4 linked regions of the Coturnix japonica genome follow. The protein of the gene in region 3 binds, or shares a complex with, the protein of the main gene of each other region. Links are inferred from orthologs where the notes say so. Each region holds a gene or a part of one and is shown on either strand. Other genes may lie near its edges.

Evidence for each region.
Region 1: ERC1 (region 3) and PPFIBP1 share a complex: the UniProt entries of both Homo sapiens proteins name them as parts of the cortical microtubule stabilization complex. The link is inferred for Coturnix japonica from reciprocal best matches to the Homo sapiens genes ERC1 and PPFIBP1.
Region 2: ERC1 (region 3) and PPFIA1 share a complex: the UniProt entries of both Homo sapiens proteins name them as parts of the cortical microtubule stabilization complex. The link is inferred for Coturnix japonica from reciprocal best matches to the Homo sapiens genes ERC1 and PPFIA1.
Region 4: ERC1 (region 3) and PHLDB2 share a complex: the UniProt entries of both Homo sapiens proteins name them as parts of the cortical microtubule stabilization complex. The link is inferred for Coturnix japonica from reciprocal best matches to the Homo sapiens genes ERC1 and PHLDB2.

The regions. Positions count from the first base shown.
Region 1 is NC_029516.1:62,769,340-62,777,379, forward strand, and holds the end of PPFIBP1 (liprin-beta-1), read left to right. Parts: intron 1-1,415; coding exon 1,416-1,538; intron 1,539-2,760; coding exon 2,761-2,886; intron 2,887-3,690; coding exon 3,691-3,879; intron 3,880-4,453; coding exon 4,454-4,633; intron 4,634-4,989; coding exon 4,990-5,055; intron 5,056-5,137; coding exon 5,138-5,224; 3' UTR 5,225-7,812; downstream 7,813-8,040. UniProt on the Homo sapiens protein: May regulate the disassembly of focal adhesions. Did not bind receptor-like tyrosine phosphatases type 2A.
Region 2 is NC_029520.1:6,944,767-6,952,806, reverse strand, and holds part of PPFIA1 (liprin-alpha-1), read left to right. Parts: intron 1-205; coding exon 206-289; intron 290-880; coding exon 881-1,012; intron 1,013-3,136; coding exon 3,137-3,199; intron 3,200-4,360; coding exon 4,361-4,440; intron 4,441-4,716; coding exon 4,717-4,849; intron 4,850-5,847; coding exon 5,848-6,071; intron 6,072-6,484; coding exon 6,485-6,719; intron 6,720-8,040. UniProt on the Homo sapiens protein: May regulate the disassembly of focal adhesions. May localize receptor-like tyrosine phosphatases type 2A at specific sites on the plasma membrane, possibly regulating their interaction with the extracellular environment and their association with substrates.
Region 3 is NC_029516.1:52,075,753-52,084,407, reverse strand, and holds the start of ERC1 (ELKS/Rab6-interacting/CAST family member 1), read left to right. Parts: upstream 1-3,788; 5' UTR 3,789-3,875; intron 3,876-3,944; exon of another isoform or gene 3,945-4,044; intron 4,045-8,655. Other genes in the region: DNA repair protein RAD52 homolog, read right to left, coding at 107-182, 287-405, 663-730, 1,118-1,211, 1,707-1,808, 2,806-2,894, 3,619-3,736. UniProt on the Homo sapiens protein: Regulatory subunit of the IKK complex. Probably recruits IkappaBalpha/NFKBIA to the complex. May be involved in the organization of the cytomatrix at the nerve terminals active zone (CAZ) which regulates neurotransmitter release.
Region 4 is NC_029516.1:79,413,891-79,421,231, reverse strand, and holds the end of PHLDB2 (pleckstrin homology-like domain family B member 2), read right to left. Parts: intron 6,968-7,341; coding exon 6,748-6,967; intron 5,499-6,747; coding exon 5,413-5,498; intron 4,707-5,412; coding exon 4,566-4,706; 3' UTR 2,796-4,565; downstream 1-2,795. Other genes in the region: ABHD10 (mycophenolic acid acyl-glucuronide esterase, mitochondrial), read right to left, coding at 599-710, 886-1,069, 1,888-2,020. UniProt on the Homo sapiens protein: Seems to be involved in the assembly of the postsynaptic apparatus. May play a role in acetyl-choline receptor (AChR) aggregation in the postsynaptic membrane.

The sequences.
Region 1 (8,040 bases), about 11 Mb from region 3:
CTTCTAAAAACCGCGTGGTAATTCACCTTTACTCAAACTAAAATAATGAAATAACATGAAATAGAAACTCTAATCTTAAGTTCATCATAAAGTTAGCCAAAAGCAATGAACTGTTTGGACAAGCAAAGAATTTAATCTTCACTTATTCTGACAAAATCATGAAGCAGTCCGCTGTTTGTAGCACACAAGTGGTGTTAACACATAGCTGTCTAGATGAACCCCAGCATGAAGATGTGTACATTCACTTGTCAGCCAACTTGCACCAACAAAGTACCAGACTGTGAGACACTTAGTGACATAATAAGGATTAAGTTATAACTGAAGTTAGCAGGAATGCAGATCTCACAGCATGTGACCACTTCTGCAGGGTAGGGCAGGTTCTTTGTTTGCAGCCCTTCCTAGCGCTGCAGATCTGGATGATCTGGGAAGTCTCGCCAGGCTGGTACATAATCCTTTGTAAACATTTCCCATGCCTGAATTCCGTGAATGAGAGAGAATCTGATTGTTTTGGTTTTGACACGCTACACTTCTGGGGCTAGATACTGGAGTGAAACCAAAGAGAGGCAAAATGTGTCATTGCACATATTGCAAAGTTGTCAGCAGGTCAGGATGTTGGGTTGTACCAACAGCATTTAGTAACCTGTGAGCCTTGTCTAAACAGTGTCTTGTTTGCTGTTGTTCACCATGTGTGTCCATGTGAGTTAAGTTGTCTTGGTTGCCAAAAGTCTCTCTCCCAATTCTCAGTGATTTAAAGGAGCTCTGAGACCAAGGAGGTGTAATGGAGCCAGAGCAAAACTGCTAATTGCTGCTGTAATTGCGAAGGGGGAAACTAGCCCTTCCCAGCTTTCAACATCTGAAAGCTCCTGGTCCAGCCAAAGGCTGTGACTGGTTCAGGGAGAACAGGCTGTGTGAGGCATTCCTTGATGTGGCAGAAATTGTCCTCGGGAGATGTCTGACTCTTTCTGTGAACGCTGGTGGGAGCTGAAAAGCTGATCTGTATGAGCTGTAAAATGAGTTCTTCTGTGAGATTAATGTTTAAGTAAAAGTTATTGGGAGGATTCAGATTTTAGAGAAAGAACTGGCTGCTTTTGTTAGTATCACTGATGCTTTACAGGGGGGAGTGCAGGGTTGTATTGTGCAATGCTCTTGCCCAGCCATATGTGAGAAGGGATTCATCCTTACTGAAAATGACCTGGCTGTGCAGTTATGCCTTACAGTGCCTTGTTGTAGAGGTGAGCTCCAGGCCACCCACGGGATGGATGTCTTGACATTAATCCCTTGTCTCATGTATTTAAATTCTAGAATATACTAGATGTGACATTTTAAGCCACAGTCCAAAGCTGCTGAGGAAGCTGTGTGTTGGTTCCACTGCTAAGTGCTTTCGTGTGTATTAAATCCTCCTTCCTCTTCCACAGGATGACTTGCTGTCCTTGAAGGTTGTCAGCGTCCTCCACCACCTCAGCATCAAAAGAGCCATCCAGGTTCTGAGAATAAATAACTTTGAGCCCAACTGTCTGCGCAGGAGGCCATCAGATGAGGTACTGCTTCAAGATAAAAGTGTGAAGAAGAAATCCTGTATGGTTTTCTCCCTATGTTTCTGATTATTTCTCCTCTACCCTTTCCTCTCATATTGGCTGCTTCCTATTTTATTTTGTGTCAGCTTTGGTTTCTTTCTTGTCATTTTATTCCCAAGTTTCATGTCCTACTGAGGCTACCTGGAAAACAACTGATTTTTCCTTCACCTGCTGCAGCCCCAAGGTCATGTCTCCTTACCAAATCTCACATTCCTTCTTGCTAACAACTGTCCTTAGTCTTTGATGTAGTTTCTTCAAAATAAATAGTCCCAAACTTGGTGCACAGCTTCTGTCAGGCTGGTATAACTGTGAAGTGTGTGGCCATGTCAGAATTTTCTCTGTAAACAAGTTTGGTCTTATCAGACAAGAAACTGCCACTGATTTGTGTTGGAAGGAGTATATGCCAGCTATGGGAATGGATGATAAAGCAGCTCAGAGTCTTGTATTTAGATTCTAATGCATATCTGCAAAATAACGCCAGCTCATGGAGCTAGCTCTCAGCTCTACTCGTAGAAATCACAGCTAATCCTAGTGTGCAGCAAGATCTTCAGACTGCATGAAACATGATACAGACCTGTTCACTGCACTCAGGAACACGGCTCGTGTTGTTTGGCATGACAATCCTGCAAGCAGAGCAGGAAAGATGATCGCTTCCCAGTAGGATAAACACAAGCTAGGCTGCTGTGATAAGCTCTTGGCTTGGAATTATTAGAAAGATACCCTGTTATGAGTGAACAGTACTTGAATCTGACTGATTTCAAGCCCTTCTGCCTTGATGGAAGGCTTTAGACTTTTCCTGTAATGAACAGGAAAGTAACAGAAAGGTAGCTTCATATCAGTGTCACCATCAGCTAGCGTCAGTATTTTAACTCCTAAGTGAAGAATCAGCTTAAGAAACTCAGTGAAGAGCTCAGAATGCTGTAAACTATATGCAGTGCAGAAATAAAAGATTTCTGTTGAAAATGCGATTTACATCTGCTCCAGAATCTTTGATCCAGTCCCACTTCAGTATTGTTGCAAGATAGCAATCCAAAGAAAGTGAAAATCTTTCCTTTCTTTTTTTTTCTCTCAAGAGCAAGGTGGGATCATATGCATAAAGGGCAGGAGAGGTTTGTTTCAGTATAGACTGGGGCTGGGACATCTGTGTTGGGAAGCCTCCTTACCTGCCTGTTCCTCCTGTTCACAGAATAATGTCACACCTTCTGAGGTCACCCAGTGGACCAATCACCGCGTGATGGAGTGGTTACGCTCTGTTGATCTGGCAGAGTACGCACCTAATCTGAGGGGGAGTGGTGTGCATGGGGGGCTGATGGTAAGATATTCACAGGCTTACTTTATTGCTTTAAAATAAATTGCGACTGAGAATTATGAGTTCTATAATCTTTGCTGCACAGATACTTACTTCTGTCTTCTTTCTCTTCTTAATAATAAGTTGCTGTCGATATTTATTACCCAATAATTTAAAAGACACAAATGGCTTGGACAAAGTTTGTTTGGAAAGCAGTGAATTTGTTTGCCTGTGTCCCCTTCACAATTTAATGGCATTTTCTACCTCCTAGCCTACAATACTAGCATGCTATTACACAACCACCATTTTCCTTCCTGCACATGAACATGCTTTTATTTTGTGGGGAAGGCTTGATTCTTTAGGAAAATCAGTGTTAAAACAGCATTGTTTTTAATTTCTCTGGCATGAGATAGATGCTCCAGACATTAGGCTTATGCATGTAGAAGTTCAGAGTGGTTGAAACTTTATCCCTTTTCCAGACATTTTATGTTTGTTTATTTTCCATCATTCCTTTGACTACATTTTCCAGAATTGAGGAGGATGGTGGATAAACATTTTGTTAGAGCTTTTCCATATCATGTGATCTAAGCATGAATTTAGCTCTTCCTTATGTGCCAGTTTCTTTCTATTTATAACTCAAGAAAGAAGGGCTGGAGATAGCATTTTATGAATCCTTTAACTTTTTTCTTCATCTTCATTGCATGTTTTCTCTAAAATAAAAACCCAAAGCAACTTTAAGAAGTGGCTGAGCCACACATCCCCATCAATGTCCTTGAGACCTTATCAAACAGTGCTGACTTCAACTGGACTCTGTGGTTCTGTTAATAGGTTTTGGAGCCACGTTTCAATGTAGAAACCATGGCCCAGTTGCTGAACATCCCACCAAACAAGACACTGCTGCGACGGCACCTAGCCACTCATTTCAACCTCCTCATTGGGCAGGAGGCCCAGCAGCAGAAACGTGAAGCCATGGAGTCCCCAGACTATGTCCTCTTAACAGCAACTGCCAAAGTTAAGGTAGGCCACTTGTTCTGGGTTTGTGTGTGAGCTGCTAGGTAAACATTTAGATCTCCAGCGTACTAGTTTTATGCATTCTTGGAGGGCTGTTCAGTAAGCTTTGAGAAACAGGGTCAGCTGCTAAAGTGAAAACAAACAAAAAAAAAAAACATTAAAGCAGGACTCAGCAGATAAGGGTTTGACTCTTACGTCTACTATGAGCACACCACATCTCAGCTCCTCATATGTGCCAAAGAGAGATAGAACTCTTGTGGGCTGTCCATCTGACAGTACGATAACGTGTTTGGGACAGAGGTGTTCTTTTACTGTATATATGCTTGTGGCTGTGTGCAATGGGATTCTGATAACATTTGGGATCCTTTAAATGTTATTTTTGTAGTAATGATGGAATGAGGGGGTGCATCTTGTTCTTATGGATGTGGTTATCTGGAAATACAGCTATTGAGAAAGCTGTTAGCAGAGCACTGTAGTCTTAACCCTTCAGCATTTGCTGACATTGAAACACCGGCTGCAGAGACATCTCTTACTTCTTTGCCGACTCTAAGTTTTTGTGAATTTTCTCTTCACTTGTAAGCCAAAGAAACTTGCCTTCAGCAATTTTGGGAGCCTGAGAAAGAAGAAGCAAGATGATGTGGAAGAGTATGTGTGCCCTATGGAGCTGGGGAGGGCCTCTGGAAGTGCACTGAAGAAAGGTTTCAAGGGTGGCCTGGATATCCGAGTATATGATGATGATGATTTGGACAGGCTGGAGCAGGTAAAACTGTTCATAGTCCTTGACTGTGTTGTTAGATTTGGTGGGAAGCCTCTCTTTCACAGTGAAACCTTTCCTTTCCTTTGGCTTGTGAAGATCCTCAGTTTTGACAGTCACAAAGCACTACTCACAAACACAAACACGTCTTAGCCCAAGAACTGCAAGCTGTGAATGCAGCGCCTGTAAGACTGTAAGACTGCCTCTGACATAACTTGTCTTCTGTCCTGACAGGGCACGCTCATCCCTCTCTCTGAGTATGTGGGCTGTAATAAAGCATTTGCATTATTTGCTGAACTTAATTGCCACTGCATGCAGGGGATTCATTATTCATTCATTATCCATTATCTTTTTTTTTGCAGATGGAAGATTCAGAAGGGACAGTGAGGCAAATAGGAGCATTTTCTGAAGGCATCAACAACTTGACAGTAAGGCTTAAAACTGTGATCTGTAGAATAACAATTCTGGTTCTGTAAAATGAGTTTGACTCTTTCCTCATTTCCTTTCTAGCACATGTTAAAAGAGGACGAAATGTTTAAAGACTTTGCAACTCGCTCTCCTAGCACCAGTATAACAGATGAAGACTCCAATGTGTGACAGCAACCAGCAGGCACTGATGAAGGCTCGCTTCCTATGTGCAAGAAACGTCATCACGAGATGTGATGGGCAGCAGATCATACACATTATGTCGCTCTTGCTTCTGTTTGTTAGAAGTAATGCTGGGGGGTGAACAATTTAAAGAACTGAAAAAAAGAAAAAAAAAGGTGCCTAGTCTAAAGTTGCCATAAGAAACACCCAGACACTGGTGAATGGAAATCGTTTTTACTCTATTTAATGTACAAACTGGTGATATGTTTCAGAGTGTTGCATTTAAATTGACGTGGTATCATAGTCATGCTCCTTTTTCTTATTCGTGTCCTGAGATAATCCTTTGTATTGTTACAAAGTAAAGCAAATTGTTAGGTAGAAAAGCACCGTGCTTGTCCTTGTCAGTCAGCTTTCTGTAGGCCCTGAAATGAAGATGTTACTGCTGTCTTTTTCAAAGTCCTATTCCCCACACAAATGCTAGTTCTGCCCTTCCCTTGGTATCCAACGTAGGATTTTAGTTCTCTGTGCCCTGCATAATCTCACCAGTAGCTCTTCACCATTGCTTTTATTTTTATACTGTTTTATAAGAAATAAAAATAATTAAAAAAAAAAAAAGAAGTATATGAAGTACATCTAAAAGCAAAACTATAAATTTTGTGACATAGAGTAACGGAAAGTTCAAGATAAGGGGAAGGGGGAGAGAACTGTTAGAGATTATCCCAGTTTGCACACCAGCTGGTTACTGGAAAAGGCAGGCTGACCTTTGGAACTGTTTGCTTTCGTTGCTTTTTTACTGAGTTCACAGTTAAATGATCTTCCATTTGGGGTGGAGAGGCTGTGAAGCGTGTTTCCTCTAGCAGTGACTCCTTGGGAAGCTGCTGCTTTCAAGATGTCTTCTTGTTCCCGGCGGCAGTGATTTTATAGCGTTCAAACTCAGTAACGCTTCTGTGACTTAAAAATGTTCTGGAGAGTTTTTCTTTGAGTTGAGGGTACTCCCTGCACGTGGAAGGGATGTTTCTGTGCTGTGACTGATGTGAGGATGGTGTAGTTGCAAGCAAATAAAGTTATATAGAGAAATGTATAGGAAATATATTATTTCGTTATATTAAAACTAAGGTGGAACTTTTTCCTTAAAAAAAATCCAAATATCAAACGTGTTGCTCATCATTTTACCTTCTTAGAGCATAACTATTTTTCCTTGAGGGTCATCAGATTTTAGAAACATTATCTAGCCAGTGGAAGTTTTTTTGTCAGGCTTTCTGTATTGCGAGGTGTCCCAGCCAAAAGCAAACAAAAAGCATCTCTGTTTATTACAGCGGTCTTTTATACAGTGTTGAACATTGCATGTATTTTAGCACAATGGCATGAAGCTTCTTTGCTTTGTAACAGGGAAAAAAAGTCCAGCTGTGCTCCTTGTGGATTCTGTTTGGTTTTTACAAGAGTTTGTCTCTCGTTTCATCACTGCCCGTGCTGGAAGTGAGACCACGGCTGACACACTGATGTGGGGTATAATGGATCTTGGATCTGTGCTGGTCCTGTGGCTAGGGAAGGAAGGAAAGGGATTCCATGGACCTTGCACCAGGTGTTAGACCAGAGATGTGTTCCAGCACTCTGCTGTTGTAGCCTTATGAGCTGTTAACAGTCAGGTTGGGGTTTTTTAATTACTTTTTTATTATTTTTTAATTATTTTTTTTTTTAAAGAAGTGCAGTTTGGGTTAATTTTCATGTGCAAAGATGAAAACTGTGATGTGGACCAGTTGTGTTATATATGCAATACCAAGTGCTGCCGTGCTTTCTTCAGTAGCTGGAGCCAGGCAAATGAGCCATATTGTATTGATGAAACAGTTTGTGCCGCTTTCCATTTGTGTACAGACAGATCACACCTGGTGCTTTATTCAGAACTCCTGGCTGAGGAGCACCCGCAAGTAAATTGCTGTCTGATGTTTCTTCTGCAGTTCTTGGGGGTGGCTGAGCTATTCCAACCAAGCAGAACCACCCCGTTCTATAATGCCTGCTTGCCACTGTCAGGTACAAATCCTCATGGGGTGGGTTCAGGGCTTGCTTTCTGTGAATGCTTTGCAGTGCTGGGCTCAAGACCGCTGCTCTGCCACATGCAGGAGAAGCACAGGAAGACACGGTGCAGGCCTCTGAGCAGAAGTATTCCTTCAGATTCTCCTGAGGAGATGCTGGCTAGTGGATGCAAGGAATGAATTCTGACAGGAAAAAAGGGGCTATTGACAGAGTGCTGTGTGCTGAAACAGGTACAAGCAAACACAGATTTTTTTCTCACTCTGGTGCTGTTAACAAGCCTATCAGCAGCAGCAGACGATCATTTCTTTTGAAGTCGGGTGTTCTGCTCCAAACACCCTGTTTCTGGGTCTCCTGGTTGGAGAACAGGTTGTTGTTCAGAGCTGCCTGTCAGCTGAACTGCGGTTGTTTTGTGGGGGTCTGTTAGGAAAGCACTGGTAACAGTGGGAGATTTATGCGCGCATGTGCACACGGCTGATACCACTGTGGTATTTTGTGTTTTTGAGGAGGGCAACGTAACTACTGTGTATTGCCATGTAAAATCCAATAAAGATCTGTGGAAAATGCCAGCTGCTTCTGCTAAGTTTTGTTGGTTTGCTTGTTTGTTTTCTGTAATGCATCCGTAATCTCTTTCTTTAACTTCCTAGGAAGCTCATTTTGTTCTACTTAAAAGATGAGAGACAAACAAGATGAGGGCAAACAAAATCACAGGCTGGATTCACCAGCTCATCTGTTGATGGTGCCAGCAGGAAGAGTCAGGTAACAGCCAAGAAATACAAAGTCTTTTATGCTGATTC
Region 2 (8,040 bases), on a different chromosome or scaffold from region 3:
GATTCATAGGATCTAGTGATGAGAGGCTTTGCAAACTCTCACACCAGGTACTCTTAGTGACAGGAAGGCATCCGTTCTGCATTGTATATTACCATAAATGGCAGTTACACAAAGCATGTTAGATATACAGTCATTCTTCAGTATTTTTATGCTTTTTGGAAGTTTTTTTATTAAAAAATTCTGATTTTGTTTTTTAAATTGACAGGCTGAAGAGAGGCATGGCAATATAGAAGAGCGACTGAGACAGATGGAAGCACAGTTAGAAGAAAAGAATCAAGAACTGCAGAGGGTACGATACATATTTTTGGCACAGAAACAAAGCTGAAAGTCTGATTCTCTTCATGTTTTTCTGTCATTCAGCAAAGCTAGTTTTGTTTCTGCTCTAAAATAAACCATTGTTCAGGCTGACTTGTAGTTGGGAGATCTGAACCACTTTGTATGGTTAACTTTCAGTCTCAAAGAACAGGTGAAAGTCTCTGATCAATTTGAATGAAGCTTGGAGTTACCTCATTGCTAATTATACTTTCTGATGAGCAGATCAGAAACCTTCCTGAAGTAACTGAGCATGCAAAAAATGATTTATAGGTTATGAATAATTAATTGCTTTTGAAATCTGGTTTGCTTTGAAGTGTAAGCTCAGACTTTCAAACTTCTTATCTTGAATGATCATTGCAATCTTGTGTCCCTTATACTCCCTTGCAGAATCTTGGAGGTACACACAGTATTTCTTATCCCTTTGGAAAATTAATTTATATTAAAGGAAAATGTAGATTAAGGAAAGCATACTGCTTTACAACCTGGCAATATTATAGACATTGTAAATTCCAAGTTATTTCAGTAACTTTGTCATAAGAATTTTAATTTTTGTCGTTTATCTTAGGCTCGGCAGAGAGAGAAGATGAATGAAGAGCATAATAAACGCTTGTCAGAAACAGTGGATAAGCTACTCTCCGAATCTAATGAAAGGCTTCAGCTTCATCTCAAGGAAAGGATGGCTGCCTTGGAAGATAAGGTAACCTTAAGTCACATTCCAGCATGTTTGTTGATTAGATAATTCTGTAGTAAGTTCTGTATTTTGTAATGTGAAGTATATTCTTAACATGTCTTTTTTTGGGGGGCGGGAAGGAGGTATGCAGGATTGAGATCACATCTGTTAGGATGCTTTATTCTTTCTTAGTTGACTGGTATGGACTGCATAAATAGGCTTTTCCAGGGTAATACAGGAAGTTGGAGGAATTAGGACTTGAACTGTGACCCTTTCAGTTCAGATTCTTTTTATTTCCCACAGCTTTTGTCTTTGGTTTTTCAAAATCATTGTGAGATTCTTGCAAGCAGAGACAATCATGTGGCTTTGTTTTTTTGTTTCCCCAGATGGACAGGTTATACAAATATAATGGAACTATTCCTTGTGTTGTCAGTGCACGTGTCAGAGCCTTCTCCTGTATTTAATTCCTCTTTAAAATTTCTATGTATTTACCTTAGATTTCTTTCTGCTTTTGGAGCTAGGTCCTTAAGGATTTTCTTTCATGCCTGTCTTTTAAAAAAAAACAACAAACAAGTGTCTTTTACCAGTAGTACTTCGTTGCTAAATTGCTTTGTCTTGGGTTAGTAAACAGTTAGTTTCTTGTAGGAGGCTGAGGTGACCATCTGGAGAAATGCCTCAGTAAAAGCTGAGTGGCTTACAGTGTTGTATTCAGGCTTCAATGTGTGTTTACTTTCTCATGGATTCATGTTAACTCAGTTCTTATCCCTAAACCTTTGGGTATTTTGAGAGTTGTAGAACTGCCTACTCCTCAGTTCATTAGAAATTCAGCTTTTTCTTTTTCCTTCTTTTGCATTCTCGGGGGTAAGAAAAATCAAGTACTGTAGTACAAATGTAGGCACTACTGGTTCTGGTCTTCTGGGTTAATGGTGAAGATGCTTCCTGTGTGATCATAGAATGATTTGAATTGAAAGGGAATTTACTTGTCCTTGCCATGGACAGGGAAGTCAGTTGTCTGACATGTAAGTCTGCAAACTTTTCATTCTAGCTTTTAAGATCACTATTTTCAAGATCACCAGCTGCTCCCAGTACTTCTGACTCTTGTTATGGGCCTTACTGTTAAGGTTGCTCTGACAGTTTTCATACATTTGATTTCTGAGAAGCAGCTGATGGCTTTTTTTTTTTTTTTTATGGTCAGTGTTGGGAGGGATGTGTTAGAGTTAACTTGAAACCGCTCTTTACTCCTCAAACCTGGACTGCATTCATGAATAATGAGAAAATTTAGCTGTCCCTCACTGTCAGCAACAGCTTCTAGAAAAGTATTGCCGCAACTCATTCTTCTGTGATAAATTGGAAAGAAACACGCATATAAAAATTTGAGTACTTTCCTTCTAATCATTGAAGCTGTTTTCCCAGAATGATTTGTTTGTTCACTTACGAAAGCTTATGACATGTTTAAAATGCAAATAGTGGTATTACTCATCTCAAGGAAATGCGTTTAGCAGAACTTTTTGGCAACTTTGAAAAGCAAAGAATACATGAGGTGGTTATAAATTTAGTATTAGAAGGGGGAGTTTTTTGACTTTGGTTTAAAATCATTTACTGTGGTCATGTTAGTTTAAAATCTTTTTGATTGTTGTAGCTCTCGGGTGATTCTTAATTTGAATTTGGGAACTACTTTCAACAGATTGTAGTAGTTGTAAGTGTCTTTACTGGAGCTATTTAAAAGTTGCAACATAATTGTGAAGAAAACAGCTCTTGCGTTATAGTAATTTTGTTAATCAGACAAGTGAAAACAAAATGAAAATTCAGTGATGATAGCCAGTAGTACCTTATTAACCAAAACACTGAACAAATTTAAAGTTCTTTAGCTGCATAGTTATTATTTGGTGTCTTTCTTTCTTGATCAAATAAGGTATTTGTATTGAATTGGATATAGAGTTTCTGCTGTTAGTAAATCCATTGTTTACAGGGCTGCATATGTAAAAGGATATGCTTTCAGATGTGATCAAAGTGAAACAGCAGGAGCAGTAAGCTGTCTGGTAAATTAAAATACATCTGTAGAATATGACCAAAGTTTGTTAGTAGCTCTTACTGGTTATGGTTTAGGAGTGGTAAGCTTTTATAAATAACTTGTGATATGTTTTGTTTTAGAATTCACTTCTTCGAGAAATTGAAAATGCAAAAAAACAAATAGAGGAACTTCAACATGAGAAGGTATAATATGTATTTCTGCAATGTTACATTGGAAAATAATTGCTGTGTTGCCTCATAGCAGAAGCAGATTTGGCTTACCCCTTAAAGCTCAATATTATTAACACTATTTAGTCCAAAAATACCAATTTTGTGGGCTGGTGTGCTTTATTTTATATTAGTTTGCTTCAGTTTTGTGATGTTTTTATAGATAATATTTTTTTTCTCAGATGTAACATATATATATATATATATATATATATATATATATATATATGTAAAGTGTATAACAAATACATGCAAAGAATATGCATGGATATATTAGCAATTTGCTGAAGTTTAAAAGATTACATAGCATTTTATTTTTTTTTATTGTTTATACGTAAAACTATGAACAGTAAGAGAAAAAAAAAGAAATACTTTAACAGTTGGTATTTTCCCCTGGATGTATACTTGAAGCAGTGGATGTTGTAAGATGCCTGTTTGATAAAGCTGTCTTAAAATTCTGAGAGAGATGTTTATTAGACTTAGTTTTCAATAGTGACTGGCCCTGTAACTGGCAAATTCACTTCTTGAATAATAGCATTGGGGCCTTTCATTTCGCTTCCTTAAGCAGTGATGATTCATTTTATGATCACCTTGTTCTGAAATAATACTATTGCTTATTAAATCACAGGCGTACTGCATTTTCCCAAATCATTTTAGTAAGTAGCTAGGCCAAACTATTAGGGGCTGTGATTTTTGTAATAAAATGAAGAATATATTCAGAATACTTTATGGGATGTGCTTTGAATTTTTATGTAGGCCACTAGTTTTCACACAAGGCACAGATGTTTATCATCAGCCACTTTTCATAGTCTTTTATTGTTTTCTCATTTATTGCTTTGCTTTGTTCAATTCCAAGTTTTTGCAGCATTTATGGGTGCTAGAGTTAAACGTGGATGCTTTTAGGACTTGTTTTTCACATTGTAGAGAACCAAGAGTTATCCTTGGGGGCCCTTTTGTTATGGTGCTGCACTGTGTAGCAGTAATCATTTTGGTTATGTGTTGTTCAAGGCTGTTTTAAATCTGGTTACATTTGAGTTTCGTAACAATTAGATCAATGGACTAAGTATTAGCTTATAGATTTAGGATATGAGGCTGAATTTTTTAATGTATATTGTTACATATTTTCTATCTTTATAGGATAAACTTGTCTTAAATATTGAAGCATTAAGGGCTGAAAATGACCAAGTGAGACTGAGAGCCACGTCTCTTCATCATAGGTACGAGCACTTAATTGTAGTTCAATTATTTTTTTTCTAATTTCCTGAAAGGAAAAAAAAAAAAATCCATCCTTTACCTATTATAAATGAAAACACTTCAGTTGTAGCTATAAAACATACTTTATAGAGCAGATAATGCAGCTAATACACCACTTCAAAAAAGAAAAAAAAAGGCTTTACAAAGCCTGGGTACAATAAAAATCGTTGGGGTGGGTTTCTTAGTTTGTTTCACTCTTCTCCTCATCTTGCTAATGGTAGTGTTTCTTCCTGTCTTAGCCGACCAGATTTCAGATACCCTATGACATCTTCATCTGTGGCTGACAGTCATGCAGACTCTTATGGCACCTCTTCTGTGCTGAGGCGTCCTCAGAAAGGCCGTTTGGCAGCTCTCAGAGATGAGCCTTCAAAGGTAATAGAACTCTGAAAGGAAGTGACAGCAATCGAGTATTTGGCAACAGATTAAATGAGTTGAAGTTAACCTGTTGCAAGGAGTTGGTGGAATAGGATTACACAACATTAAAAGGGCTGGATCTTTTATATGGAAATATGTTTTATTATGTGCTTGCTTTTAGTGAAGCAGAATATCTAATACACAGCTACTAGGCTGTATAATTTTATTTCAGACTGCAATTTTAGGGCTGTAAAGTCCAATTTGCTTTAAGTATGATAAATCTGTGCAATATAATATGAAAGAGTCTTTCCTTTGTGTGTCTGCACTTTAGATTTCAACTTTGGTTCACTAATCTAACATTCACCGTCCTACAACCAAGTCTTGCAAGTTCTCCTTTTACATAAAGCTGATTTGAACGTTTTCATTGTGTTTGTTAGCAAAAATCTGTTGAGGAAGTATATAGCCAAGATAATGGTGTTTTAACTATTGGGTCTGGCTGTTTTAAAACTGTACTTATCCATAAGAGGCCAAGTATCTGCATCATAGCTTTTTGTTTTATGTTTCTCTGAATATCACTGTCTTTATAGATGCATTCCTCAAGCAAGTGGACTTTAAAAAAAAAAAAAAAAAAGGAAATTTAAACACCTTGAAAAATAGTAGTGTATTGGCAGTAACTATGCTGGTACTAACAAGAATAGCAATTACAAGGAAAATGGTGGAAATACAGAAGGTATAAGGAAAAGGGAACTCACCAGAGCTGAGGTGATCCTCCCTGGTGAGCGATCTCCAAGAGATGCTGCCTCAGTGAGGGTCAGCCCTTAAATGAGGTCTCAGAGGAGGTGGAGTCGAACTCCACCCCTCCAGGGAGCACAGCTACATAACTTTCACCTGTGCTCCCACAGCTGACCCCACACTTGCCTCAGCTGATTAATCAGTGGTTCACACTGTGATCTCCCATACAAGTAGAAATATCACTTTTCATATCTGAGATTTTGTTTTTAATTCTCTTTTAACAGGTTCAAACTCTGAATGAGCAGGACTGGGAGCGAGCTCAGCAAGCAAGTGTATTGGCAAATGTGGCACAAGCATTTGAAAGCGATGTCGATGTGTCTGATGGTGAGGATGACAGAGAGACTATTTTCAGTTCAGTTGATCTGCTGTCACCAAGTGGTCAGGCTGATGCTCAGACTTTGGCCATGATGCTTCAGGAGCAGCTGGATGCAATTAACAAAGAGATTAGGTATGGCATATTTGCTGCTACATTTTTACTGAAAAATTATGTGTGACAGAAGAATTCCTTTTTATACAGTTACTCACAGAATTGTTTGCTCATTCACTTTCCTTTGAGGGACTGGGAGAGTGGGAATTGATGAACAAACAAAAAAAAGCATGGAGTGCATTTGACTTAAGTATTCCTTTCAGGTCTTCGGTCTCATTTGTGGAAGGGATTGTATTGCCAGTTGGGCAAAAACCCCTGCATGGTGGTAATAGTTGTAGTATTTACAACCTCTTTTCAGATTGGATTACCAAATTTTCAGTGCAGTTGTTTTGTCTGTCAAGTGCCGCTGCTTTTCAAAATGCTTGAGTGGGCCGTTCTCATTATATGGTACTTGTATGAATGCTATGTTCCTTTGGAACCCTTTTTTCTTTTAGGCTTATACAGGAAGAAAAGGAAAACACAGAACAGCGTGCAGAGGAAATTGAAAGCAGAGTGGGTAGTGGGAGTTTGGATGCCCACGGACGATTCCGATCCATGAGCTCCATTCCTCCTCCCTACGCAAGTGGTTCCCTTGCTGGTTCTTCCCCACCTGGCAGTGGTCGCTCCACCCCAAGGCGGATTCCGCATAGTCCAGCTAGGGAAGTGGACAGACTAGGTATCATGACACTGGTAAGTATTCACTAACTTTATTTTTCCAAGGTGACTGTTCCTTTTCTGTAGGAAATGCATTTGATTCTCCCCTTCCTCTGCTTCTTACTTAACTCTATTTGTCCTTTCTCTTTTTATTTCTGCTGTGTCCTTTCAACTTCTGTAATAATGATAATGAATGATTTTAAAAAAAAACAACAAACCCCAACAAAACATTGAGAACTCAATTCTACTGGTCAGCATCTCACACTGAAGTATTCCTTTTGCTATGATTTTTCTTTGTTACTCTTCCTGGAAGAAATGAATGTATTCTTTTTAACCCTCACTCCAGCAACTAGTTACTGTCTGTTTTAAACTTTACTTTTAGCCATCTTTTTTTTTTTTTTTTTTTTTTTTTTTAAAGCTAAATATTCAACTAAAGCTTAATTTGCACATCTTACTTACATCTTGAAGTTTGCACGATGTCACAGCTGTGATAGCATTGAGTGCTGGTTCCCTTTTCTTAGCCTATTAAACATGTTGGTAAATATGTTAGACTTAGAGGCTGGTGTAGTGGCAGCTTGGTCTTTGCAGTTCAGTGAACAGAGAAGGATGGATATACATTCTTTTGACCCTCCTACAACTACTTAGGGAAATTAATCCTTCTAGGAGGTGCTTGATGCAATAAGCCTACCTGTTAAAAAAAGAAAAAGACCAGTTTTCCACCTTTATGTTTATATGACTTTTAGACAAGTCTGTCTCCTTAATATACTCCTCAGTGAAACATGTTCCATATGTCAGAATTAAAAGAATACTTCTCTCTATAAACATTACTTTGTCTCCAGATTTGGAACCAGTACTTAATAGTTTTATGTGCAATATAATGGTTACTACATTTTGTCTTGGATTATTGCACTTGTCTCATGTCTGTAAGACTCAGTGGACAAGGCATGCTAACCAACACAGCAATGGCAGGTAGACTGCAACAGATTGATATATCTAATCTAGGTCTTTGCTAGGAGTTTAAAAAGGAGTACTTCTGCCACCTATTTTTCCAGCTTTTTGAAATGAATATGTAATAATTCTGTGTGTAACGCAAGGTTTTTTTCCATTAAAAAGGATCATTTGCCATTCTTGTATTTTAAAAAAAAACCACAACAACAGAGATTGTTATAACAGCTCAGATTAAGAATCCAGAGTCAAGCACATCTTTATTTTGTGTAGATTAAGGTGTTTCAAGCGCTGGAGTGCTTTATATCTCACAATAAAAAGTAGTTACCTAACTCCTGAGTACCTCTTTTAAAAGAAAAAACAGGTATAAAATAAAATAGCCATGTTTATGAAAATGAGATCAGAAGAATAT
Region 3 (8,655 bases):
TTGGGGCTAAGATAAATTTGTATCATTATTTACATTCCTTTTAACATGAAGGACCAGGAACAATCAACATCTAGCAGTACCTGCTCTGAAACACCACGTACTGTACCTGACGTGGAAGCTTATTAACTGCTTGTAGGTAGTCTTTGTCTAGGATGCAGTTCCCAAGAGCATTTCCAAAGCACCTAAGAAACAAGGAGAGCTCATTGTGACTGAAAATAACAGCTCCCAATTCACTTCTGAGAGTGTACGAGTACTGATCTTCACACAAACACTGATCTTCACTTACTTGAGTGCCCTCTTCAGTCCATCTGTCACTGCCTCCTTTCTTGCCTTTTCTAAGGACAAGGCCTTGGACTTCAAGCCTTCACTGACTCCATAGCCCACATCTTCATGGTAAGAGCCATCCTGCAGTAAGATTTTGAAAGCATTAAGTATAAAGGAGATTCTGCACATAAAGCATTCCTTGCTAGATGCTGTGCTTTCCTAAGCCTGTTAACTTGCCCTTAGCTGGATGCTTTGTAGCAAGGTCAATGTTTTAGACTCCACTATGTTCTCTGGTGTAGTGCATTACTCCTGAGAACTACAGTTTGGCCTAATTACTTTCATTCCCAGCTTTATGCAATTGCTCAGCTACAGACAGAGGAAACAAAAAATCCACTTACCTTAAGCTGGACTTTCACAAATGCACAGACCCCCACATAGAACCTGCCGTTGTTGAGATCAACAAAGTCTGAGGGGATAAAATGGAGCATCCTAAATAACACAAAAGACTTCTGATCCACCCAGATCAGTTTCTTACGTATGAAAGAAATTAGAGTTGTAAACATTACTCCTCATTCAGATACATATCTTAGATATGTTTAAAGAGTAACAATTCTTTTTCAGCTGGAAGTAAAGATTTAAACTATCAGTTTATAGAAACAACAATGGAAAAGAACCTCAACTGGCTATAAAAGCAACTTATTTCCTATTATCTATCAGAAGCCTCTGATTTGGGAAACATTGCACAAGGCTTAATCCATGACTCTCAGTCCGGAACCTTTTTGAGAAACTTTTCCTTCAAGTCATCATAGTGTAAAATATGGACAGACTTATTTTATGCCAATCAGAGACTTACCAACATTCTGTTGAGTGACTGAATGAGCCCAGCCATTGAAGCCAAACATCTCATTGGCCAGACTGATTACCTTGTGACCTTCAATGTAGCAGACCTGAGAAGAGAAACATACACGTATATATATACACATACACACACACACTCTTTACTTTAAAGAAAGATTACATAGATTATCTTGCCCTGAGGAAACCTGGCTAAATTCAAGATAATTGAATGATGATGCAGATTTAGGTTCACCATCTGCTGACAACTGTGATGGGGGTAACTGAATGAATATGCCAGAATTAAGGGGAGCAGAGCTAGCAGGCAATAAAGAAGTAAAACTGAGCTAATGTCACATCATGATTCATATACTCCAGTTCTAGAAGAAGAAAAACATCTCAATGTTCCTTCCACAAGTAGGAAGAACCACTGAAAAGTTAAGTGGCTTTTCCATAAGAACATAATTTTAAAAAATAAGGATTATTATTATTTTAATAATTCTCTTGAGGGGAAAAAAATGCAAGTTAAAACATCTATGCATCTATGTATCTATTCATCTATGTATCTATTCATCTATGTATCTATTCATCTATGTATCTATTCGTACCTTTTGTCCTCCTCCAGCTTGCCGACTGCTGATATATTCTGGGCCCAGTTTCTGACGAAGAGCATGTTGGATGGCTTGATATTCATTTGCTGTATATTGATACTGGATGGAAACAAAGTAAAACAAAATTTCTCATTCTTTCCATATTAGCTATCCCTCCTCTCCTAATATTACTTCATAAACCCATTTTCCCTGTCCTTGATATCTTTAATGATGATTTGGATGAGAGAACTGAATGTACCCTCACTAAATATGCAGACAACACCAAGTTAGGGAGAAATATCAATCTGCCTGAGGTTAGGAAAGCCCTAAAGAGAGATCTGAACATGTTGGATCAGTGGGCTGAGGCTAATGGGGTGAAGTTCAACAAAACCAAGTGTTGAGACCTGCACTTTGGTCACAACAACCCCACACAATGCTACAGGTTGGGGCAGAGCGGATGGAAAGCTGCATGGAGGAAAAGGATGTGGGGGTGTTGGTTGACATTCAGCTGAACATGAGCCAGCAGTGTGTGAACCAAGAAGTGTTTAAGGAAAGGGTAGATGTAGTACTTAGGGACACAGTTTAGCGGGAGACATTGGTGACTGGTGGATGGCTGGACCAGACCTAGAGGTCTTTTCCAACCAATTATGATTCTATTCATCATTAAGCTCTAGAAAATGTTTTCCATTTCTCATAACCATCATTTACATAAAAGAAGTTAAATGAGGCAGGTCTGGTAGTATCCTAGTGAAATCTTAATGCAATCATAATCCTAGTCAAACTTGCCAGGAATACACATTCACATTTATATCCGATCTCTCAAAACTAATACGTAATATTTCACAAGAAAAGTCTTTAAAAACTCAAATTAAACCAAAGTTTATCACCACATTCCATCAGGACAACAGCCAGGGTGATGAATCTAATTAGATCATTACTGAGGAGTGTACAGCATATTCCCCTACTGCAGGGAAGGTCCTTCAGATAACTCCAGTATTACATCACCGCTCTATGACTCTAACCTAACTGTATCCATCTTTACAATGAGCAGATATGTGAAGGAGATTTCCAGTAATGCAAAAATGGAACTTCTATTTCTCAGGCAAAGGGAACTGACCTGTCCGAAACAAGCAACTGAACTGCTGCTGCTGGTACTGCTGCTGCTGACATGGCTTTCACTGTCCTTCCCTTGCCTTGCAGGCATCCCTAAAGACCAAAGAAAATACCATTATTGAAAATAAGAGTCAACTATCCATAAGAAAACACATCACGATAGTCCACTGCACACTAAGTATAACAATATACTGCAATATATTGGACAATACAGTGATACCATTCATACTTCTGTGCGTATGTCTGTGGACCAGCTGGAGATTTGTTTTCTGATGCTGTTTTACAGCAGCTCAAATTCTTCTTAAAAACATTATACTGTGCAATAGACAGAAACGGGCAGAAATGACAATCAGCTTCATCCCAAAGGCAGATGTGCTGTTCTGCTCTTGTATAAGAACAGAGACAGCAATTAACATGTTGTAAGTCGTTATTCTAAGTACTGAACGGGTAAAAATGATGTGTTTTTATTCCTTGTAGACACCCATGAATGCTGTGCCAATAACTCAGTAGATGGCACCCTTTTCTAAGTCAGCACCCAACACGTACCCGATGGTGACTCGGCTGTGCTGCTTTACATCCTGAGTCACTATTTATTCTAACAGCTGGTGAGAACGAGCCGGATGATGCCATGAAGGCTGGTTCCTCACTTAACTCGCCTCAAACGTTAACGCTGGGATAGATAATCAGCTGTTTGCAGAAGAGCCACAGGGCAGTGCTGACACATTAGCAATACAAATGCCCTACTCTAAATCTACCTTTAAACGCTCAAAGGAATGAACTCGTACGGCCCCACCGACAGGGGCTTTGGACGCCATACCTGGATGCATCCAGGCCGCACACCCTCCTCCTCCTCCTCCTCCGCCGTTCGCAGCTCCCGCGCACGCAATGGGGCGGTGGAAGCGGGCGAGGCTACGGCGAGAGAGAGGGACAAACATCCCGCGGGCGGAGACGGAGGGGAGGGCAGGGCAGGGCAGGCCGGCTGGGGGAGGCGGGGCGCCGCGCGGCCGTGAGGGGACGCGGGGGGGAGGGAGAGGAGGAGGAGGCGAGCGAGCTGGTCGCGGCGCTGACGGGCAGGTGAGGGGCCCCGCTGGGCAATGGGGGCCGCGGGAGGGGACGGCGCCGCTCGGCGGCCGCTGGGGGGAGCCAGGAGCGGGGCGGGGCCTGCGGGAGCCGGTAGCTGCGGGCGGCCGCCGGGCTGGGCAGGGGCTGCGGTGGGGCCTGGTGGCCGGCGGGAGCCGCTCAGGTGGGTCCGGTTCGCTCCCGGGGGGCTGCGGGGCGGCAGGGCCGGGGGGAAGGCTGGGGGGGCGGATGAGGGGTGCGGGGCCTCGCCGCTCCGTGGGCCTCGAGCGCGCTGTCACCGCCCGGGGCTGTGCTGTGCTGTGCCGTGCTGGGTTGGGCTGTGCCGTGCCGTGCTGTGCTGTGCTGTGTTGGGCGGCGGCAGCAGCACCCCCGGGCCCGGCTGCCCCCGCTGTCCGGTCGGAGGGGAGTGGGGCGCGTCCCGCCGGGTGGTGCTCAGGGAGGGGGGTGGTTGTGGGGCGGCCGTGGGGCTCCGCTTCTCTTCCTTGCGATCGTGATCCGCCCCTACTTGGTCAGCGTGCCCTCGCCAAGCGTCCGCCTTCATTGTCTCGGTGCCATCAGCAAGGTAATGGTGCCGGCCGCCTTTCTGCCCCGAGCAAGGCGAGCTGTGATTTCCGCCCCACCTCTGGGCATGCCGCGTTCATCCCACGGAACCTACTACAGCGCCGAGTGTCAGTTGACATCATGCTTTGTTTCTGCATCTGCAGCCATCCTGAAGCGCGTGTCGGGAGCTGCTGGCTTTCCACATCTGTCTCGTTCCTGACGTGAACCTTAAACCTCAGCAATGAAGGCTCACGATGCCTTTTGCTTGGGGTTTTACGTGCGACTTGGAAGCCCGTGTTGTGGTTCGTGCTGATGGGGTGTGAAATGTTCTGGGTAAAACCCTGATGGAAATGGGGAGGTTTAAGAGACGGGAAAGCAGAAAGAAATGTCTGCGGAGCTAAGGGAGAAGCAGAAGCATAAAAGATGAGAGAATAAAGGCAGATTCCTAGAAATAGAATGGGTGAGGAGAACAGTGTTTTACATCTTATTGAAGCTTGTTCCAGGGCAGGGGGGGCATGTGAAGGTAGGTGGGGTGATTGTCGCTGAATAATACATTGCCTCCAAACCAACAGGTTGTAACAGGAAAAAGTTGTCCAGTTTGGCTGCAGGGTTCTGATTGTATTAAGATGGCCAACCCAGTTTGGATGTCTGAACAGTAACCTCCACCATCTGCCTGCCCTCCTTTTCTCCCAGAGGGTACTGCATCGACAGCAGGAACATATATCTTCTCCTGAGCTCCTGCAGCCCACAACCTGACAGATCACTGTGAAGGTTTTGGTATCTTGTGTTCAAGGCTGATAAAGCTGAGATTTGTGCCCCAGTTCAGGGTCGCATATGAGTCAGCACCCTTCAAACAAGATTAGAAGAGAAAAATTGTCACCTTGTCTTGTGCTGTTGTGAGAGGAGTTGGTAAAGCAATAATCATTTTTTATCGATAATGAGGTTTTGGGATTAAACCACTAATTATTAAGTAAGTGAGATTGCTGTCCTGACTATATTTCAGTTCTGGAAACTGAACTTCAGTACTTCAGCACAGAACAGCAGTTCCCTGAATAGTCAGGTTTCTGATTTCACTCCATCACCCAGAAATACAGAATTGTCTGAGTCCATCAAGCTGTAAGGGGAGGGAGCTGCAGCTAGAAACAGGTCTGGATCTGCTGGCTAAAACATGAGTTTGTCATAATATTTGGTATAGTTTGAACTTTTCCACATTGCCCAGCAAACCAGTGTAGCTGTAATGAAATCACTCTTAAGGCTCTTAGCCGTTTTTCCTGTTTGGCTTTGTGTTATCTGGGTGATAACACTTTTTGTCCCCTCACCCTTCCCCGTTATCAAACTATTTTGAATGTGTTCTCCAAAATGCATCTCTTGTGTTGTTTGCTACGTTGGCAAAGCCCTTTGGAAACTGCTAATAGGTCTACAAGGTCTGGCTCTACCCTACTGTACTTACCTGGTCTACAAGGTTGGGCTCTTACCCTACTGTCAGAGCACTCAGGTGAGGAGCACCTGGTTCAAGAAAGGGGATGTTTGCTACTTTAGTGAAGGAGCACACCGCATCAGGCAGCGATGTTACCTGTGGTGAGCTGAGGCTGTCTGCCTGAGCAGCTTCATTAGTGTTTCTATGTACTTCTGGGCTTCTGAAGCACCTTTATCACTCTTAGGGTTGTGTATCTTCCTGATTGTGCTACTGGGAAGTGGGTTGTTGGTCACATGCTGCCTGGGGGAAAGGGAGAAACAGCCCTATACTAAGCACACAGTATTTATGTACTGTACTCTAAAAGTCAGGCTACAAAGTCTTCAGCCATTCATTGACAGCCAACTGATGTCTGCAGGTCTTCAACCTTCTGTGTAATTTAAAGAGCAATAGTTATTTTAATGGGAGCTGTTCTGTCACTACCAAATTTAGGTGCATGTTGTGACTTCTGCTGCTTTTGTTTGCGTCTTTTTTTATAAAGGAAAAAAACACCACATGCCAAATGTTGTTGGTTCGGTCTCGTGTTTGCTTTCCATTTAGAGGAGTCAGCTCCCATTCATTGCCCAATGCAAACCCTGATGTGCCCACCAAGCCCATGTGTATGTATGTGGAAGGGACCCTTGGGTCTCGCCTACCTCTGGTAAACCCAAATGGTTGATGATTTGAGGGTGCAATTAAGGATGATTCATGATGTTTCCGTGTGCCTGCCACCTTGTAACAAAGTCAGTGATATAAAGGAATGAAACTGTGGTGGTGAATGTATACCCCTTCGTGCCTTTATTATATCCAGTAATTAGTGGAATTATAAGAAACAAAACCTGATGTCAGTTGAAACCTCTTTTGCAAACAAGCTGCTATGGAGCAGAGCGTGTTTTGTCATTCTACTCCTATCTTGCCTGGGGAGCAAATAGATCTCGTGCAAGGAATTTTATGCTTGAGAGAGGCATAAGTATCCTAGGAAGCTGGTGAGTAGTTCTGGTTCATGTTTAATCTGTTACATCTTCTAAGAATGCAGGAGAAGAATGGGAAACAGAACGAAATCTATAAAGGACAGATAATGAGAATGCTTCTGTGTTGTGTGGTGGTTTAAAGTGCATGCATACCACTAATGCTCACTTTCCAAATTTGGAAAGCTTGGAACAGGAGCGTCAATTTCTGTTTAGAAATAAAACCCTTCTTTAATAAATGGCTGTTGAGATTATTCCTTAGAATGTCAGGGTCAGAGTTCAGGGATGCCTGCTTTTAATATGACACAGCTTCCAAAATGTCACATCCACATTCTCAGTGACTTTTGAGGTTTTTTTCTTTCAGGAAGACTTCTCTGTCTACAGAGAGGTGGGGGATAAAGCATCCATCTTATGTCTATTGGGACAGAACAAGGGCAGTGTTACCTTCAGTCAGCTTGACAGGTGTTCAAGTTGGTAAACTTAACAAATAACTATAAACAGGCATGGACATAAACAGATGTTGGTGCTTTGACATCCACTATCTAGGGATGAGAGTCAAACATAACATGAACAGTTACTTTTTTGGTCTTCTTTCTGTCTTAGTTTCATTAATTGCTTTTGCTTTCTTGCCGTTCAGGCCATGAGGATAAAGATTATTTTATATGGATAAACAAGTCTGAATTCCATGGGTTCATTGCTGTGTATTCAGCATTGAGTGGCTTGAAAACAATTTCCAAGATAAACTTTCTTCTGCCCTTTTTCTGTGTAGCAGTCACTAATTTGCCTTGAAAACTGGCGAGCTTTTTAACCTCCCAAAGCTAAAAGTCAAATGTAGCAGATAGATAAAACTAATACCTTCCAGGCCTGCAAGTCAAACAAGATGACAGATACTCCACATTCTTTATAAAAAAGTCATTTCAACCCTGGCATTTGTACAAGAAAGTCCAGGTCCCTCTGCATAATCCAGTCAGTCTTGATTAACTATTAGGATATGAATTATGAAAAACGAATACCCTTGTAAATGAAGCTCAATGTTTCTGTTACGCTGCAGTATCAGGTGAAGATTGCTCTTGTAAAGACTGATTTTGTTGCTGCTGTAGAGCTGATGTTCAAAGCTCTTCTAATGCAGATATGGATCGGTGCTACTGGGCAGTTTATTCTTCTGGACTAAGCGTATGGCTGCTGGTTGACACAGGAGGCATCACTGTGCTTTAAGATGGCTTTTTCTATTATTAATTCTTTAAACACCTACAGCTTATAATTCTTCCTCATAATCACAGGGAAGGCTTCTTGTATTGACAGAGAAGACTGAAGGTTTTTAAAACCAATTTGCAAAGCCAGAATGGTCAGTGCGTTCAGGTCACAGTTTGACACTGTTCCCTGTGGTTTCAACTGTCCCGTAAGGTAAAGAGATGGTTTAGCTGTGAGTAAATTTAGAATCGTAGCGGAGGAAGAAAATAAATAGTGTTATTTTGGACTTTGGGAAGATAAGAAGCTGCACTTCTGAGACTCCTAGCAAAATGTTAGTGTGTGGCTCGGAACATTGAAGAACTGTAGCTTTTCTGCTTATGCTGCTATATGAAAGAAGTCTTCCATGTAATTCTGCTTGCATTACTGGAAAGAAGTTAGAACTTTCATCTTGCTGATTGAAGACAAGAAGCGACATTTCTGTCACTTGTTTCACTTTGCTATTTCCAGGATGAAAGATGGTTTTCCTAGAGTGAATTGTCTTAATATCTGTGTCTGCTGCCGGATTCCTAACGGCACTAAAATGAAAAGGCCAGTGATGAATACAGCTGGAAAACAATCCCGA
Region 4 (7,341 bases), about 27 Mb from region 3:
TCCTTCAATTAATGGATCAGCAGTGGGACAAAGCCTCACTCTTCCAAGAGGAGAACTGCAAAGCACTGAACAGCTCCTTATAATCAGCATCATCATAGAATCATCATAGAATCACAAGGTTGGAAAGGACCTATAAGATCATCTAGTCCAACTGACCTCCCTTCACCATACCTACAGAAAACCCTTAAACCATATCTCCTAGCTCCTTATCCAGACACTTCTTGAACACTGCCAGGGATGGCAACTCCACCACCTCCCAGGCAGGAGGCTTGTCCCTTACTAGGTGGAACCTCCTCCACAAGCCTTTCCCAAACCTCTTGGGACCGGGTCAGGGCTCATGTAACTCAGTGCCAGTGACAGCTCTGCTCTACTGAAGCATCTCCTGCCAACCCACACCTTCACAAAGTTGTGATAAACCTGTTTGCAAAAGAAGCCCTACAAATAATGTCATTTCAAACAGGCCTGCTTGACAGCTAGAAGGTGCAAGCCGTTAAACAGAAGCTATTCTAGACAGGATCTACTGCAGTGTATTTTTGATTACACAATATTCCACCTTCAGGAAAAAAAACATGTTTTATATTTAAGGATGAAATACAACCTGTGGTCCATCTGTAAGTTCATCCAGTACAGAAAGAACATCTTTCCTCCACTTCCCAATTGTACACTCCTCAAAGTTCCCCTGTGAACTTCCACATCCTGTATAATCAAATCTGAAAAACCAATCATCAAAAGTTGTGGTACTACCTACAACAACACAGAAAATAAAACTCAGCAGTATTGCTGAACACAAATTAAACAGAGCTTGTGTACAGAACAGCATGCACTACAAATCAAACACCCAACTCAACATATGATACCTATTTCATATTCTCAAGAACAATGTACCTGACGAAGGCATGACCTTGACAGCTGCAGAAATCTTCAAGGGCAATTGCTTTCTGACCATTCATATTTGACTGGAAGCCTGGAAGGAAAATAACCCCTGGATTCCTGCCTTTCAGCTTACGGTAGGCTAGATTTGGTCGATCAGGTCGAGTAAGAAAGCTGACTGACGACTTCCACCTGCAAACTAATAAAGAGAGGTATGAAGTACCACCACTAAGACAGCTCTGGCAGAAATAATAGCATTTTATAAAATGAGAATTCAGGAAATATATGTATGTTATGTGAAATTACAGTACTTAGGCTCAGGAGAAAAGAAAAACAGAAGTGTCTTCTACATTCTTCAATACTGTAATGTAATGATTTGAAGGTGCTTAGCAGTAACATCAGTCACATGCTGACTACTGTCAGTAACACTGAAAATTAGGGTGATAAGCTCTGAGTCAAGATCCTCAGCACTGTTTCATCTTAACAGCACTTAGACACAAAACACAGGAGGTTAAAAAATCAAGCTGTGTTTTCTGTAAATACAAAAAAAAAAAAAAAAAAAAAGTATTAAATACAAATCATATGGAGAAAGAGTTGACTGTTGTGGAAATATACATTTCTCATGCATCTCCTAAAGAGGCAAAGATCTGCTGAACTCAGCAGCCAGCTGTACCTCTACTGTGGATGAAGATAAGTGGTTTGTAGAGAGGCGTTACAAGGAATTAATCCACTCTATTATCCCTCTCAGCAAGATAACGTGTTAAACTGAAAGCTTGGACAAGACTTCTGATAAGACTCTAACCCTCTTAATCTTTAAGATTAGAGGATTGTACGTCGCACACTCCGCTCTCAGGTAACACCCCCCGCCCCTTTTACCCCTGGCAGCTTTCCAGCCGCTCTACCCCAGCGGCAGCAGTGCCCAAAGAGTGAGACCCCGCACCAACACACCCGCCCCCTCCTCCTCGCGTTTCCTCAGGCAGCGGAGCGGCTCCATTCCCACCCGGGGCCCCTCCTTACCCGGGAGCCCCAGGGCCGCACTGAGCAGCGGCAACCCCAAAAGCGGGACTGAGGTGCAGCCACTGCACCGCCGCAGCCCCAAAGACGCCGCCATGTCCGCCTCCACACGCATGCGCCTCCGCATGCGCTCCATGGGCTGCTGTGGTGAGCGGGTGCTGTACGTACCTCAGGGCTGCCCATCGAGACCTCTCATCTGTGAGGGAGCAAACAGCTCCTGTCTGTTTAGTTTTGCCCTCAAACTCAGCGTACGCCCCAGTCCTGCATCCAGACACCATCTCTACATCAAACCTTTCCCTTACAGATAAAGCACTTAATGCTGTAGAAAGGGGTGTGATTCAAACGGCTTCAGGAGCATCACTGGTTCTGTTGGATTCCAGAATATCAAACGAAAGCATGGGAACCAAACTAAAGAAAAGCGTTCTTTAGTTCTTTAGTTCCCAGTCTGTGCAGGACTCTCTGCAGGCAGCAGGGACAGCAGCACCCGGCTACAGGTGCATCAGTTGGTAGTTGATAGACTGATAGCTCTGGAAATAAGATGTTTGAATAATAAACCTTCTCATTTGTCACATCCTTTTAGTCCTTCACTCATACATTCATTTATTTAATTAAAATCACAGACTGAATTTGAATTTTATCTCTCAGAAGGGAGTTGGAACAGCGGTTCTAACATCAAGGTAATGGTTTTCTGTTTCAGTCGGGCTCTAGATAATTAGCCATAGAGAGTGAAAGACTGGATGATGTTTTAGGAATGTGAAAGTGTGCCTATACATCATAAAGCAAGGTGGCAAGATGGCAGTTAGTTGGGATGTATGGGAAGCTGTGGGACCACACAACATTGCTTGCACAAGCGTATAAAATAATGAGAAGACAAGCAGAAACACATCAAGAATCAAGCGAGCATTTAAAAGTGTGTTTTTAAAAACATTTATTGAAATGCCTTCATTGCATCATGCAGGATACAAAAATCATGATTAGAAAACCTTTATAACTATGCTAAGAAGTAAAATCAAGATACGTCAGGGAAAAATAATAATTACAGATACCAAAGGAATTTATTCTGATAGTGTTTTTAAATGGTTGGATTATAAGCTGTGATCTGCACAGATGATAACAGTTACCTTGTGATAACTGTCCCTTCTTTCATTGATTCCAGTCAAAACTGACCGATGTCATGCTAGCAGAGCAACCCATATCACCTGTGTGTATCACACAAGGAAGAATGCATCCCCTTCTTAACAGACATGGGAGTACAACAAAGATATTTTGCCAGCAAACTTGTTTTGCTTTCAGTTTTTCATCTGCTTCATCAAAAGCCATTAGCTTTTCATCTTGGAAAAGGTCTAATGTGCTTTCTCTTATTACACAAATTACATTGCACAAGTATTGACTACTGAAATAGAACCTCATTAAAGTCAAAGAATAAGAGACTTTCTTGAAGTTCAATTCACTTAAGTTTTGCAATATTTCTCAAGGATTTGGAAATTTTAAGTGATTTTTAAATAGGAGACCACTGGATCCTCCTTATTTTCATTGTTTTAGGAACCTCAATCCCCAGTGCTTAAAATTTTCATGCTTTTTCATCCATACGCTGCTCAGCGTAAACCTTCAGAGCCAGTCTTTCTATTTTAATTCTGATAGCATTATTCTGAGTAGATACACTTTTCCTTGGCTAAAAACAAAGAATTTGGACAGGTAGATACTTCAGTCTTTGCTTCATGGAGACCAACAATTGAGGTTTCAGCAAAGTGTTTGTTTGGCACAGAGAACGTTCAGAACCACATCAGGTGGGACTTGACTACATAAAATCGCTGCAGGGTCCAGAATCAGCTCAGTCCATTCAGCACAGAAGATGACAAGAGTCCTCCTAATGACAAAGTTAATCTCTGTTTCCATTTCGTATCCTTGTGGATAAATCCATCTGTATAACACTGTCCTTTTCTTGTTGAGCTTCATAGATACAGACTTTAAACTTAACAGTCGGTATCACCGGGTGGTTTAACATAGTTGTGTAAAAATGTAATTGCTTTACAAGTCACGAAGAGTTTTGGCACTGTCCCCTTACAGGAAGTTAAATACAGCTAACAATCTGAAATATTACAATAAGGGAGTCATATAACTCTTTGGCTCTGTTGTAATACTTAACTACTAAGGCAAGAACTGTGTGTACCTTAGGGCAGCTGTTTAATTCATACTTTCATAAAATACTTGACTAAAAGTTTTTTAAAAGTCACCTACTCACCTATAAACATCAATTGCTGCATATTAAAATATATGCTATTACACTTTTTTGTTTCGTTACTAGAATTTCTGCATACCGATGAGAGCACACGCATTCGTCAACTGTTGATGAAGACGTTCTCTGTTTAAGAGAACTGGTACAAAATCAGCGTTGAATCCAGATGTTGTCATGTTAAGTGGCCGGTTTATTTGTTTTGGAGCACTTTGACTTTCTCAACAGCTTTAGCTCTTTTGTCTCTACAAAGATCAACTAAAATAAGTAGCAAGTCCCCCTTTTCAATGCATTTAGAAAACCCTTCCGTTCCGAGGCTTTGGCTGCACATCATAAGGAGGATATTCCAGAATGTTCACTGGTATTTTATGTGGCTTTTCAGATTTTACTACATATGGCTAACTTCATACGTTAACGTTATTGCAGTATGCCCTATTGCCCCATTTTGTTATAACATGAAGTGGGTGTAGCCTTCCGCGCCCGTAACAATAACATCCATCCATATCCTCATGGCTTCCGGCGTAGGAGCGACCATGTAGTATATTCGGTCATGTGTCTTAACACTGAAAGTGAGTAGTGGGTTGGGACTCTAAAAAGAAGAAAGAAGCAGAAAGGAGGATGTCAAAACAAAGAAAAATCAAATTGGCAACAGAAATAAGATTACTTACATGGAGATTTAGGGCAGGGTTAGGGGAGAGAAAGGAATCGCATCCTACACTGCAGCACTGGGAACAAAGATGTGTTCATAGCATATGCATCCAGTATAAATGCTTTAATATTTCCATTAGACTATCACACAGCAATACAGGCATCCGAACTGCTGCTTCATGCCCAAACAAGTCCCCTTGAGCAGGGATTATGTCCAGTGATCAAAACTGCTTTGGCTTTCACAAATCCACATATTAAAGATAATCAGATTGTTCATATTCAGACTGACATCTCAATTACAGATGTGACCAGCAGGGAGCACGTACCTCCCTCCCTATGGTAGTCACATGCAGCCACCCCTTACTTTGCCAGAGCTACTGATTTTAGTGGTCTTGGCAGCAGATGATGGAACTCCTCACAGCAGATGCCAATGTGGGTCCATCATATGGCAGGAAGGCTCTCTCTTATCTCTGCTTCACTAGTATAAACAAACAATGCTTGTCACTGCTCTGGCCTCATCTTCCTTTGCCTCCACTTTGTTTTCTGTTTGTTGTTTTTATAACGTCAATTCCCTTTGATTTTACTGCAGTTACTATACTCAGAGTACTGCCATATGATTGATACTCGGTCAAAATAACAAAGCTTACCTTATATGCATTCTTTAGATGATCGTAATAGACCTCTTCAATAGCTTGAAAATAAATTACACCTTTTAATTTAGTTTCGTGTTTGTCTGAAATGGAAAAGAGAGAACAGCTCTTGAAAACTGAAATGAATGGTACTTCAAGAGGCAAAATGTTATTCTGCATTTTCACACACGTTTGGCAGGTAAGTAACTGGATTAACACTTCTGCTTGTGAAATACCCCAAAATCTTTGTTCTCAAGAGATGCATTTCCTGCTTGCTCTTCTTTTCTGTCCGCTTTCTGAGGAAATAAGGCTTTTGCAATTCAACTGTTTTCAAGGCAGACCCTCACTGAAGCAATTAAACCTTTCAGCCAGGTTTCAACCTGGGATGCATCCAATCTTCCACTTCCAAGAAAACCAGACAGGCTTCAGATACTACTGAAGTCTTACAACACAGCTAGCAGACTAAGGTCTACGGTTTTCCTTCAGAGGAACACTATGAAAAGCAAATTTGAAATACAGTTTGACAGCAAAAGCCTTACATTCAGTTAGCATTTACTCTTACAATTTAAAATGCTTCTTCCTGTTATAATTCTCCCTATCTTCTGTATCTTCTGTTTTACTGCAATGTTAAGTATTCCCAGAGAGTGTCCTGGAGCAGCAGAACTGCATTCAATACTGAAGGGAAGACTTCCTCCCATGCTCACTACTCTTGTACACGGGGACTGTAATGCCTTGTGATGCCATGTTAGTATCACCTTAGCACTGACCAAACAGAAGATCTTAATCAGTCACATGAGAGATTCTGCTGTCACTTTGAATGCTTGTGGCCTCAGCTTAAATCCTATCAGTAGCTGCCATCAGTTTCCAAAGCTTTAGATGATTAATAGCAAAAAGAAATCCCAGAAACCAAATGACACTGTGCTGGGAATCCCCCTGACAGCCCCCAAGAGAGGACGTTGAAAGTACTGAGCTATAAGACCATGACATTATAGCATATGCTATGAAAAGCTAAATACAAGACTATACAGCAAAATATATTATTTATGCAGCACAGGCAACTGCACTAGATTTTCAGATTTTAGGGCAAGTGCTCGGTTTAGTAGACTCGTAGAACTAAAACAACCTACCAGTACTTAGAATTCAATTACACTGAATTTACAGCACCAAAATTTATATTGGAAGTCTACTGTATAACTAAGGTCTGGGCAGGTCGTCACTCATAGAAGCAGCTGCATTTTTGCTTAGCTGGTACAGAATTCTTATCAAAGTGTTTGTTGGGTCCTTGAGACTTAGGAGAAGTTTTCTTTGGTAGCTGAAGTTGCATTATCATTTAACATTGATCCTGCAACCTACCTGCATAATACGTAAAAGTTCTCTTGTTTCTGTCAAAAACAAACCATCGTTTTTTCCACGTTTTAATTTTCCCTCCCATCTTAATCAGAAAGCCTCGGCAGGTCTTCTCTGTGAGGGAGACGTGGTAGCAGGTCTCTATGTTGTGACCAGCTGTTTCGATATGACTTCGTAGATCAAAGTCTTCCTTTCTAATGGGCAAATAGCGAGTCAGTGGACGAGCCTGAAACGAAGAAAAGAAAATCTTATTATTTTAATGGAAGCCTTCACTTCTCTTTCACTCTTTCTGCTACAAGGAGATAAGTGTCAACTGGCCGTACATTCTCACAATGAAGATATCAGAAAGAACCTTTAAATATGACTATTAAGAAGTGTATGGAACTTTATAGAAGTGGATTTAGAGCATGGAAATTTCTTGAAATCATCAGTTGATAAGCTGGCAAAACGGAATGGCTGGTTTGGAGTATGAATTAAATGTGAAAGGAGTGTTACTCCTTTAGATGGATTGTGAGAACTTCACTGGCATGAGGTTAAGCAAACCCATCACCTCCCTAGGCTAGAAGTATCTACATTTAAGTATGATGGTATCTTAATGTA